Mus musculus: one gene and its partners. The protein of the gene in region 3 interacts with the protein of the main gene of each other region in a biochemical or structural test. Links are inferred from orthologs where the notes say so. Each region holds a gene or a part of one and is shown on either strand. Other genes may lie near its edges.

Region 1 (4,368 bases), on a different chromosome or scaffold from region 3:
AAGCCTTTCTGAAGAGAACATCAAAAGACTTAGAGGACTATTTTTATATTTTTATATTGTTTTTCCGTATTTGAAAGTACTTAAAAGACCACCTCTTAAAACTCATCTCCAGTTGCAAAAATCAGAACACTGATGTTTTTAATAGCTGCATATAAATATAATATAAATCCATTAACAGTAATATTATCAATAATAACAAACAAACCTAATTAGAATAAATGATAATATACCAGTAACCATTCATTTAAGGTGTTGGTTTTTTTAAAGGACATTTGAAAAGATCATCTTAAGCTCTTGAACAGAAAAAAAAATAGCTATGGCCAATTAAAAAGAAAATGTTCATAAAAATTGAGAGAAACAATTATTACTGCAATTATTTGAGGGAAGACACAAATGTTTAAGAAATACAACTGAATAAAATTTACATGTCAGAGACATTATAGATACCTAATGAATGCAATGTTAAAAAAAAAAAAAAAAAAACGAATCAAATAGAATGAGTTTTGTCTCAGGTAGAAATCACATTTTTCTAATTTAAAACCATAAAAAGGGTAAATAGCCGGTCCTGGTGGTATACATTTTTAATCGCAGAACCCTGGAGACAAAGCCAAGAGGAGAGTTAGACGTCATCCAGCGATATACCATAAGACCCTTTCTCAAAAAAAAAAAAAAAAAAGGGTGATGGTGGCTATTTCAGGGATAAAAAAGCCACCTACAAAACCTGCATACAAAAGGAATTTTCTAAACTCAAAGTTAAGCTCCTCAGTTATATGAAGAGCAACATCCAAAGAAGTATGTGTATACCACTTCACAACACACCATGCAAGGTAAATATTGACACAAATTATTTCACAACCTACATTCTGATTTTGAAAACAAAACTACAAGTCATCTCATCTTTATTATGTGCTGTATCTTTCTTAAACGATAGACTGCGAATTGTTGAAGTTCTCATTTTTATTACAGATTCTGATACATGGCTTTTTTGTAAAGCTAAGTATTTATGGATTTACAGTCATCCTTACTTAGGCTTATCAGCAATACAGATGCAGTATCCACTTCCTTAAAAGTGCAGTAAGCAGTCTATTTAAGAGGAGAATTTAATACTAAAGCAATTTCTGTCATACATAACAAGACAAAATTTTCCTTTTATCTCTCCTCAATTCTAAATTTACATAATTTACCAAAAAGATATCTTAAGAGTATTAACTAATCTGAGGTGTGTCAAAAACATTCGTCGTGTCTCTTGTCCAATAGGGCTTTGATATTTAGCTTTTTAACAGCTGTATTTCTTAAAGTTCAGGCCATCTTTATTTCAAACGCACTTCCCTATCCAAAACATTTTAACATAATCTGCTGCTTCTCCCAAAACCATGGGTTATACGAATATCCTTCACGAAGTAAGATAATGGTGGATAACACATCCCATATACTATTTAGTTAACATTTCCAACAGTACACTAGCTATTTAACGCAATCCCAAAGAGATTTTATACTGTTCTATTTTAGCATGCTCAAAAGACATAAAAAAAATTGACGTAAAATTGTCTTTAGAGGATTCTTCTAAAGCTGATAAAGTCTTATTAAAATTATACTTTCTATTTTTAAGGCTAACGCAATTATAGCACATTCAACTCTGATTCTTCCAACAAAAAGCCTCCGCATCAAAATGGGGAAAACGTCCTTTTCATTTTCTCAACTGAAAAGGGGGAGGGGAGAAGAGGAGGAGGCCAACTGCTTACAGGTTTGCATTGAAAATTAACACAGCAGTTTCTGAGGAATCAGTAACTCACGTTCAACTACTGAATCCTACCAGAAGCAGCACACGAATAAAACCAGAGCGCAATCCTTGGGCTTGAGGTGCCGCTTCATCCGTCTTCCTTCCAATCCACCCCCAATACCCCAACCCACTAAGCACACATCTAAATATGTCTTCCCCACCAGAGCGCCCCTTTGGAGGAAAAGGCCTGCCTTTCGCAGCCTGAAGCCACGGCTGGCTCTCCGATCTCTGCTTAGATGAGGCCCCCGATCTCGACGCCCTGCACGTCCGCCCCACCCCGGGCCCACTCGGGTACCCGTGGGTGACAAAACCCTCCCTCCTGCGTCCAGCCAGCACTGACAGTTAAGGCTGCAGCAGCCGCAGCCACCAGGGCCTAGTCCTGGCACCGGCCCCTCCAGACCACGCGCCCCAAGCACTCGCTCACGGAGGCGGGTGAGGGCCCGGCGCCTACCCTGTCAGCGCGGGCCGGAGGGTGACGAGGGGACCGGCGGTACAGACCAGAGGGAGCGCGCCGGGCAGGCCGCAGCCGCAGCAGCACTGACCTGTCCTCGCCCCCGCGCGTGGGCTGCGGCCCTCGCAGCTGCGGCCGCCTCACTGGTCCTTGTCGCCCTCGTCCACCGCCGCCGCCCGCCACCGCCTCGTTCCCTTTCGCTGGCGCCACCGCCGGGTCTCATGCGGGACCCGCGCTTCTCCTCAGGAAACCGAGGCCGAGAGGCCAGGCGCCTGGGCAACCTTGAAGTCGGCGCTGAAGCGCTGCTGTCGCGATCTGTCCACAGTGGGGGGCGAGGGCGGCGAGCAACTCCGAAGAGAAGCAGAAGGAGGCGCCACCGTCAGCGACAGGTCGACGGAAGAGAAGCGTAACGAGGCGGTGAACAGCTGCGTGGCCCGGTGCGCGAGCGAGAGAGCGAGCGCAGGAGGGGCGACGAGGTGCTGGCAAAGACGAAAGGCCCTGTCGTCTCCTGGAGTCACCCAAAGAGGAGCGCCACCATCTTGGGAGAAATACGGATCTCGCGAACGCAGCACTGGACGAGAGGACTAGGTGGGCGGACCGAGTATCCCGACAGGCAGCGCGCGCCAACCCTGCCGGGCGAGGGCTCGGAGTCCGGAGGCGGGATGCGAGGCGGGGTTGCGCGTGCGTGGGATGGCGACGGGCTCTGCCCCGCCCCGATCGCAGCTCTGTGGGGCCCTCCTCTAGCTCGCCTTCGCCTGCGGCGCAGGGGCCTTTGGGAAGGGGAGATGGCCTTGGGCTGGGTGGAAGCTGGCCAGCATCGTCGCCATCTTGAGACTGGGCTGAGAGAGGCTTGGTGTTTTTAGCCTCTGCTCCTTTTACTCAATCTATAGACCAGTGTGCTTCGGTGTACTCGCGAGAGCGGACAGGTCTACCCAGCCTAGCAAAGCCCAGGAGTCAGAGGGACGAATAGGCCAAGAGGGTGTAGCCTACTGGCGGCACGAGGAGGCATAGAAGCGTTTTGTTGCTAGAGCTGACCCTTACGACTTTTCATCCGAACTGTCCGAGTAAAGGATTCAGGCGTTGAGATTGGGCAACCTTTCAGCAAACAAGGCCATCAGCCTCTGCCAGAACATGATATGTCACTGGCTTACCAGACTAGTAGGTAAAAGCCCAGCCCCTCCTGTGTTGTCTTCCAGTAGATGTCAACTGAGAAGAAACCGCCTTGCTTGATCACACGTGGATAGAGACTAATTTTGATTTACAGAACACCCGAACCCTGTTAGAGCCATGTGACTTGTTGGTACCGGAGTGAGGGTTTAACTTAGGTTTGTTGTTAATGATTTTGACACTAAATTATTATAAAGACTAGCTGACATGTTATTTCCTGGCTTGCAACTTAGTAAGCCTTAATCATCTAGTGCTCAAAATGTAACAATCACATGTATTAATGTGCTTTTCTGTTTATTACAGCTCCTATAATGTGTGTGTATGTGTGTGTATATATATATACACATCATATATATATGAAAGATCTCCCCACTATAAAAAATATTTTTATTATTGGTTTTTCAAGACAGATTTCTCTGTGAAGCCCTGGCTGTCCTGGAACCCACTCTGTAGACCAGGCTGGCTTTGAATTCAGAGATTCGCTTTCTGAATGCTGGGATTAAAGGCTTGCAATTTTTTAAAATTAAAAAATAATAGGCGTGTGTGTGTGTAAACTATTACAGGATAAATAATAAGTGCAACTGTTATATCAGATTTTAAGATACTTTAAATTTTTTCTATTCTTTTTTTTTCTCCATCCATTAAAGATCCTCATTTGGAATACCATTGTATTATATGAAAGGGGCCAGTAATAAATGTAACCCTTTAAAGAGTTATCTTTGCAAACTATTTAAATACAAAACCAAAACTGAAAATCATTAGACTGCTAAGAAAAGTAAAGTACATAAACTGTTGCAGCATGTGAAGACGCTTTCAGCTATTCACTCCTAAATAAAAGTCTGAAAATGAAAGGTCATGGTCTAGTCATGTGAATTATCAAAATGTAGCCAGCAGCCCAGACTTCTAAAAAGCTTAAAAGTTTAAAGGAAATACATATCCAAGTGCCAGTCAAGTTCTATATGGAGATCAT
Region 2 (3,646 bases), on a different chromosome or scaffold from region 3:
CATTCTACAGTATGCACAGACCACTGATGGACAGCAGATTCTAGTGCCCAGCAACCAAGTTGTTGTTCAAGGTAATAGAATTAAGAATTCATACATATGGTACATTCTTTTAAAAATTAATGTGTATACTCATGAAAAGTAAGTATATTACAAAGCACTACTAAAATAGTTTTCTTCAGTATAGATTTAGATATTAACAGTTTAGATATGCATGTATTTAATACATAAATATCTCTCATGCAACTTTCCACTCAGATGAAAATGTCATGGCATAAAAACAACTATCTTTTAGCTTAAAAGGGGTTTTTCCTGTCTTTAATGCCTTCAGTAGTCAGGATTGGAAGAACCAAAATATGTTAGAAGAGAACTGAGGAAGTTATAGCCAGGCTGAATGGCCTCAAGTAACACTAGCTCCCCTGGGCCCCTTTCTTTCCCTCCTCTGTGTGCTATGTCACTATTAAAGAGTTCTAGTGGATTCTGCTGTTTTATCTGTTTTGTCTTGTTTTTATTATTTTTAATTTAAAAGGAATATAGAGCTTTTCTGAAGTCATCAATTTGGATTTTGGATAAGAACAAGCATCATTATGCAGATCCTTGCTCATTGGAGAACAAGTTGTCCTTTAGCCTCGGTGGACGAGAGGATTTTGTTTTGTTTTGTTTTGTTTTGTTTCCCAAAATTTCAAGAGTCTGGAGAGTGTTAACTATTCAGCATTAATTCACTGAGCAGTTCATAGTTCAATATTACCAGATTAAAAATTTATAGATTAAAAAAATAATATTTGCTTCTAAAAATATTTTATTAATAATAACTAATGTTGCCTGTGTTAATGAGAGTTATATCCCTTCACCATGGATAATTACTTTTGGATCATACCACAACACCAAGTAGAACATCTTTTGTTTAACAATGTCTAATAAATTTATACTATATATCTTGTTATTAGACCAATGATATTTAAAAAATATTTTGCTTATTAGTGGGAGTAAAACACCTTTTCACTTTACATGCAGGTACTCAAAAAATTGTAAAGCAGGATGTCAGTGAATTTGAATTCTCAACGTCAGTTTGAATATGGTAACATGTTTAGTATATAAATCTTTGTCCCTCAAACGATACAATCGGTGTTTTTAACTGATATGAATGATTTTATAAAGACATTCAAAATCTCTCACATAGTATTAGGGTACTTATGAAAGCATATCATGACACTGTTTCTAGAAGCAAATAATGGACAAATAGTGATTTTTTTTTTCACATATGGAGATTGTATGGTGAGGAAAACCCAAACTACACGCCTTTAATTCCAGCACTTGGGAGGCAGAGGCAGAGGCAGGTGGATCTCTTGAATTCTAAGCCAGCCTGGTCTACATAATGAGTTCTAGACAGCCAGGGCTACATAGTAAGTCCCTGTCTTAGAAAACTGAAATGAAAACAATTCAGCTTTTACTTACTTAGTTTTAGTCACTTATATTAAGATATGTTTACATATACCATGATTGGCAGCAAATGTCCAGTTTTTCATACTTGGAGTTTTGTTTGAATTAGAAATTTATAACAGTTTCTATATGCTTATTTTTTTTCTTCTATTTTGCTATTTTATGAAAAATCATGGTCGTTTTTATGTCGTGGCAAGAGTCTACTTGAGTTTTTTGGGTTTTGTTTTAAATGTGAATTTATGTAAAGCAAGGGAAGATACTGAGGCCTGTGTGGGAGGACATCTCTGCTCAGCTCCTTTAGACTTAAAGCTGACAAGCATGCAAACCACAGACTGCATCTCCCTCCCAGCACAACATGAATAAGACCCGCAGGGACGCTGAGGCACCCTGCCCCGTACCTGTACTAATAAATAGGACAGACAATTGGAGTCTTCTTCTTAGATAGAGTCCCATTCCCTGTTTCCCTTTTAATCTAAGTATGTTTAGATTGATTGAGACACAGTTGAATTAAATTGTAGTGTTTCTGTGTCTTATACCTTGTTCGCTCTTCTCTGCAGCTGCCTCAGGCGATGTACAAACATACCAGATCCGCACAGCACCCACGAGCACCATTGCCCCTGGAGTTGTTATGGCGTCCTCCCCAGCACTTCCTACACAGCCTGCTGAAGAAGCAGCACGGAAGAGAGAGGTCCGTCTAATGAAGAACAGGTACAGATTCCAAACACTTAAATGCTATGGGTCAAGTATGTCTATAAACTCTTCTGTGTGTGCCTTTACATCTGCTAACAGTAGGTTCTGTGCATTGATTTTCTTTTTCTGGTAGAATTAGTGGATCTTGCTAAAGCTTCTTTGTTTATTAAGTTGCATTTATAAGATGGCTAATGGAACTTTAGGTCAGTCTTCAATCAAAAAAGTAATTTTTCTTCATAGTTTTTCCACAAGAGAAATACATAGCTTTAATGAATTTGTACTTTATTCTAGCTAATAGGATATGTTAATTAAAAAAATTTGTAAGTAATATTCATCAAAGTGTCACATATGTATACTAACATTAGACTCTAGTTTATTTGCATTAAATTTATTTATAACAAGTATACAGTAGCCATTTTTGTTTTAATGAATACTTTCTTTTGCATTTTTATACACTTACAGATTTATTTATGCATGTTTTATGCATATGTGTCAATGCCTACATGTATGTATATGTACCACATTCATACCACAAAGGGCAGAAGAATGCATTAGATCTCTTGGAACTAGAGTGAGAGGGGTTGGTCAGCCACCTGCCTTGTTCTTTGTTTGGGGTCAGAGTCTTGCTGTGTGGGCCAAAGTTGCCTGGAGCTCTTATCCTCCCGCCTCTGGGAGTGAGTGCTGGAATCACAACCTTGGGCCTGGCCTTAGGGGCAGGGGCTTTCTTTACTCAGTAATAACTTAACATCCAAACACTTTTAAAACAGAGAAATTCTAAAAAGTATGGTATTCCCGACAAAGCCTTAATGCACAGTTAATGTTAGTCTTAAGAAGTTAAAGTGGTACAGAAGAGAAGCTATAAAACACAGGTAAAGCCTTTCTTAGAAATTTATTTGCTTTCAAATGTTTTTGCCATCTTAAAAAAAAGGAAGTTATTAATGTGGAAATGATCAAAACAAAACAAAACAAATGGTCTGAGGAGGCCATCGTTGGTTAATGTGTTCACCATCCAAGCAAGAACACTGGAGTTCAGATCCCCAGAACCCATATAAAATTCTTGGTAGGGCCCTGTAATTCCTCTGATGGCACAGGTGGGGTTTTCAGGGTAAGCTTGTCTGTAAGCTCTGGGTTGAAGAAACCATGACTCAAGAGTAAGCGAAAAAGCAACATTAGGGAAGATAGCCTGCACACACATAAAACATGTGAGTAAACATCAAGGGGCTATAATGGGGGAGGGAGGTGAAAACTAAAAGAGAATCAAGGTGTATAGAGATGTAAACTATTTAAATTCTTCTTTTTACCCCAAGAGTGTAAGAACTATGATAAAGTAAATGAGACAGAAATTGAACTTAGCAGATCTAACTTCAATTCCTGCATTCACCCTTTAGCTATGACTCTGGAAGAATACATTAATTTCCTAAACTTGGGTTTCTACCTTTGAGTAAAATAAGATCTCTCCTTGCACCCAAAGCTTGGCTCTCAGGGTCAGGTAAGACAGCACATGGCATCTCTACTGCTC
Region 3 (4,252 bases):
GTCCAGGAGAGGTAGCTCATCGTCCACTCAGCACCGTCCACCCAGCACCGTCCACCCTGGCCACCCTCTATTACAGAGCTCTGGTGAGGGTAGGGATAATTTGTTTCCAAGAGTACATTTAGCAGTATCTGGAGATGTTTGTGTTGTCCCAGGCAGCAGACAGATGGAAGAGTACCAGCATCCAGAGTGTGAGGGTGGGGTTCTGATATCAACCTAGTGTGCAGGAGACCCTCCAGCAGAGTGCTCAGGCCCCTGGTGTCAGTGGCAAGGTGGGAAACTGACCACGTTCTGACAGTGCAGACTTGAAAGAACACCGAGTGAGGTTCTAGTTCAGTGGTACAATGCTTACTTCGCAGGGAGTATGCATCGTGTTCAATCCCCAGCATTGCATAAAAACAAAATTTAAAGATGAGCATCCAGAAGGAAGGAGAACGGCTCTCTTCCTGCCCAAAAGGGGCAGGTTATGTTGGTCATGTCTAGGCAATGGAGATTAGTTAAGAGCAAGGAACTAGCCTGACCGAGCCTCCATAAAATGGGAGTATGGCAGGCCCAACGTGCAAGGTACAAGAAGTAATGCACTTGGCTGGCGTCCGTAGTTACTACTTTTCAGGGGCCTAGGGTTGAGCCTTAGCAAAGAGTGTAGATACTCTGAGTCTCCTCCCAGCACGCCCTCAGTTCTGGGTCCAACATCCCCTTGCAGCTCCAGTTGTGTCGCGAGCAAACCAAAGCGGACCCCGAGCTAGTTGGGTCACGGCTGCCCAGTGTCGGGCCTCCTTATGAATGACACCGAACGGCGCCCGGCGACCCTTGACCCTCGGCGCCAGCCCGCCCCTCCCCCCCTGGCAGGTGGACAGCCGCTGCGCCGGCCCGCCGTGGCGTCAACCTCTGGCCCGTGGCCGCTGCCGCACTGGGCAGGGGCGGGAGACTGCAGCGCGCACATTGCCGCACGGGCGTCCGCCGGGCCGCCTCCCGCACCTCGCAGCGCCTGCCACCCAGCCACCCTCCAGCCGCCGCAGCCTCCGCCCCGCCCGCTGCCCGGGCCGCAGCCTGAGCCGCTGCCCCGCCCTCTCACCCCGGGACTGACACTAGCCGGGGCCGCCTGTCTCCGCCAATCGACGGCTTCGCAGGGGCAGCCCCAAGCCCTCTCGGGCTTCTCGGCCAATCACGTGCGTTCGCCCGCCCGACTGCGGCCTCACGAGCCCGTGAGTGGCGGAGAGTCTGCAACTCGCGTCACTCATCCAGGAGCCTATGGTGGCGCGGGAGGGTTCCGGAGGGCCAATGGACAGCGGCGTAGGGCTGTCAGTCAGGGAGGCCTGAACCAATGGGCGGTGGGCTGCGGGGGCGTCACGGACAGAGGACTTGGGCTGAGGCTCCCCCGCGGGCGGGCGCAGAGAGACGCGGGAAGCAGGGGCTGGGCGGGGGTCGTGGCGCCGCAGCCAGCGCAGCCAGCCCCAGGGGCCGCCGCCTCCGCTGCCCAGCGCGCTCCGGGGCCGCCGGCCACCTTAGCACCCGCCGCGTCGCAGCTCCGGGACTGGCCCCGGCCGCGACGCCGCCGCGATGGGCAACGCCGCCGCCGCCAAGAAGGGCAGCGAGCAGGAGAGCGGTGAGTGCCCGGCCGTCACCCTGATCTTCACTGCGTGCGGCCTGCCCGCGCAATGCCCATCACTGCATGGCCCCTCCCCCATATGCCCCCCCAATCTTGTCTGCCTGCACCCCTGCCTGCTGCCTGTTCACGTTGGGGTCGGATCACCGCAGAGATACTTTGCCCCCAGTAGGGCCTGGTGCCCATGGCCTACCATCCCCCACTGCAAAGGCCGTGCCCCCCCACCCAGCTGTCACTGCCAACCATTGCATGTATGACCGCCGGGGCCCCAGATGAGGCCCTGTCACCACACCAACCCCTCTTCTCCTAGTCCCTTTCTCCAGATTCTATACCCCCTCCCACTTCGTCACTTACCTTTCCCACACAGCGCCCCAATGCCTGACCCTGATCCAGGCTCCTGCCAGTTTCGGGAGTGCTGTGGGGTCCACGCTGCAGGGACCTTGGCCACTTGGTGACCACACCCCTCCCCCTCCAGCCCCCGCCATCTTTCTCCTACCCCTGCCCGATTCACCTCATCACAGCTCCCACCTCCAAGCCACCCCCACCCCCATGAGCATTTCCCGGGGCCACCTCCTGCATTGTTTTTCCCTTCTGTGTCACTTGGCATGGGGGACAAGATCTTTCTGGGTCCCTCTGCCCCTCTCATCCTGTCACTCCACCTCCTCCGTGCATTCGTCTGGCCCTGGCTGGGGTGGCAGACTGTTTATGAACCTAGAGAGCTGCTTCTGCGCTTCCTTATCCAAGTTGGAGCTGGTCTTGCTCAGAGCCATTACGTCTGTCCTTTTTCTTGGGTTGCGGGTGAGGTAAAGCGGCAGAGCACCCTCCTGGCCTACCCTGAGGTCTGGGTTCCTTAGAAGGCCCCTCAATAAATGGTCGTTTCACAACTGCGGTTCTGTCGTTCACCCAGCCCCTGGGGCTGGTTTGAAACTGCGGATGAAATGAATAGCAAAGGCTCATTCCACTGAATGGGGATGGTCAGAAGAATTGCGCGCATTGGGGTAACGCCATCCAGCAATAGGTGACAGCTAATGATTTGGTTTGCTTAAGACAGATGGATTCTGTGCATACCGAGGGCTCACCCAGAGGGAGGTATATCCACACACACATACACACACCCCCCCCCCAAAAAAAAAACCATGCTGAATTTTTCTAGCCAGGGAAAAAAAAGTGATTCTATATTTGAAATTACTTCAGAAAGGGCCTTGGGCCCTGTCCCCCAGTGCTTCATGTCTCAAAGTGGTGTCACTCCAAGCTAAAGCTGTACTGCAGCTGAGAACAGCTTCCAGTTACCCAAAAAGGAGGCTCTGATCAGCTGTGCCCTTCTCAGTGTCTGAGTCCCCCGAATGCCACTCAAGAAGCCCAAGAACTTTCTGCCCCTCCCCCCCCCCTTCAACCAGCAGAGCTCAGCCCAGCCTAGCAGCCTTAAGAGGCCTGGCATTTCACAGATGGGCGGGGGACAGAGGCAAGTGCTTGTAGTTGAGGGCTTGATGACAGAGGAGCAGGTGGGTAGTGCCCAAAAAGGTCTTGGGCTTGAGCTTGGAGGGCTCCGGGCAGAAGGAGAAGGGCCAGCCCCCTTGGCAGGTGAGGCCCACCAGGAGGTAGATGGTACGTGCAGTGGACTGAATACTGCAGTGGCCCCTCTGAAAGCTGAGCACAGTGCTAGGAAAGCTTTAAGCATATCAGACACACACAACAGGCACAGAGCCACAGAGGAGGGGAGAGCCCAAGGAAAAGATCAGAGTTTGAGAGTCAGTTGGACGGATGAACTCCGTGCATCCAGGAGGGCTTGGTTAAACGGTCTCCATAGACATACTTACTTTGATAATGTCTGTCCAGATGAGCCATCTGAGTTTGACACAGATGACAACACACAGGCAGAGTTCACATCCAGATCTGCTGACCAGCCCATCTCCTAGACCCCGTCATATCTCAACTCAGACATTCTTTGGTTTGCTTTGATTTTTAAAGACAGGATCTCACTATATAGCTCCTCTTGGCCTGAAACTTGAAATTTAGACCAGGCTGGCCTCAAACTCTCAGAGATCTGCCTGCCTCAGCTTCCCAAATGCTAGAATTAACGGCTTTCACCACCATGTCCAGCCTTCAACACATCAGCAGGAGTTAAACCCCAGTCATATTTTCTTAAAATGATAAAACAAACCCCATAATAGTGTATATTGACACTACCAGCAACCCAAGAGGCTGAGGCAAAAGGATTGCTTAAGCCCAAAAATTAAAGGCTAGCTTGGGTAACAGCAAAACCTTGTATCAAAATACAAAAGTCTACAGGATGGCCCTTAGGTAAAGATGTTTGCTATGAAGCTTGTTAGTCTGAATTGTCTTCCTGGGACCTACGTGATGGAGGGAGAGAGCTGACTCCTCAGAGTTGTCCTCTGACCTCCACGAGAGTGTGTGTACACACACAGTAAATATATAGAAACATTTAAAGAAAAAAAAAAAAAAAGAGGGACAGTGCCTCAAACCTAGCAAGGAAGGAAGGGCCTGTGACGCAGAAGGACCTGAGTTTGAGGCAGACCTGGGCCACAAAAGAGACAGCCTTTAAAAGCAGTAATAAACACTTTGCTCACTTCTGCCCATAGGTCCTAAGCTATTCCTGCCTGAGATTTCTAAACCTGTTGTAGTCTCTGG

The links.
Region 1: the proteins of Prkaca (region 3) and Ube3a form a complex in vitro, tested with the Homo sapiens proteins (2 studies listed by BioGRID, with this or other methods). The link is inferred for Mus musculus from reciprocal best matches to the Homo sapiens genes PRKACA and UBE3A.
Region 2: the proteins of Prkaca (region 3) and Creb1 form a complex in vitro, tested with the Homo sapiens proteins (2 studies listed by BioGRID, with this or other methods). The link is inferred for Mus musculus from reciprocal best matches to the Homo sapiens genes PRKACA and CREB1.

What each region holds. Positions count from the first base shown.
Region 1 is NC_000073.6:59,227,226-59,231,593, reverse strand, and holds the start of Ube3a (ubiquitin-protein ligase E3A), read right to left. Parts: upstream 2,845-4,368; 5' UTR 2,323-2,844; intron 1,905-2,322; exon of another isoform or gene 1,794-1,904; intron 1-1,793. UniProt on the Homo sapiens protein: E3 ubiquitin-protein ligase which accepts ubiquitin from an E2 ubiquitin-conjugating enzyme in the form of a thioester and transfers it to its substrates.
Region 2 is NC_000067.6:64,574,185-64,577,830, forward strand, and holds part of Creb1 (cyclic AMP-responsive element-binding protein 1), read left to right. Parts: coding exon 1-71; intron 72-839; exon of another isoform or gene 840-1,035; coding exon of another isoform or gene 1,036-1,075; intron 1,076-1,994; coding exon 1,995-2,145; intron 2,146-3,646.
Region 3 is NC_000074.6:83,971,630-83,975,881, forward strand, and holds the start of Prkaca (cAMP-dependent protein kinase catalytic subunit alpha), read left to right. Parts: upstream 1-1,348; 5' UTR 1,349-1,557; coding exon 1,558-1,603; intron 1,604-4,252.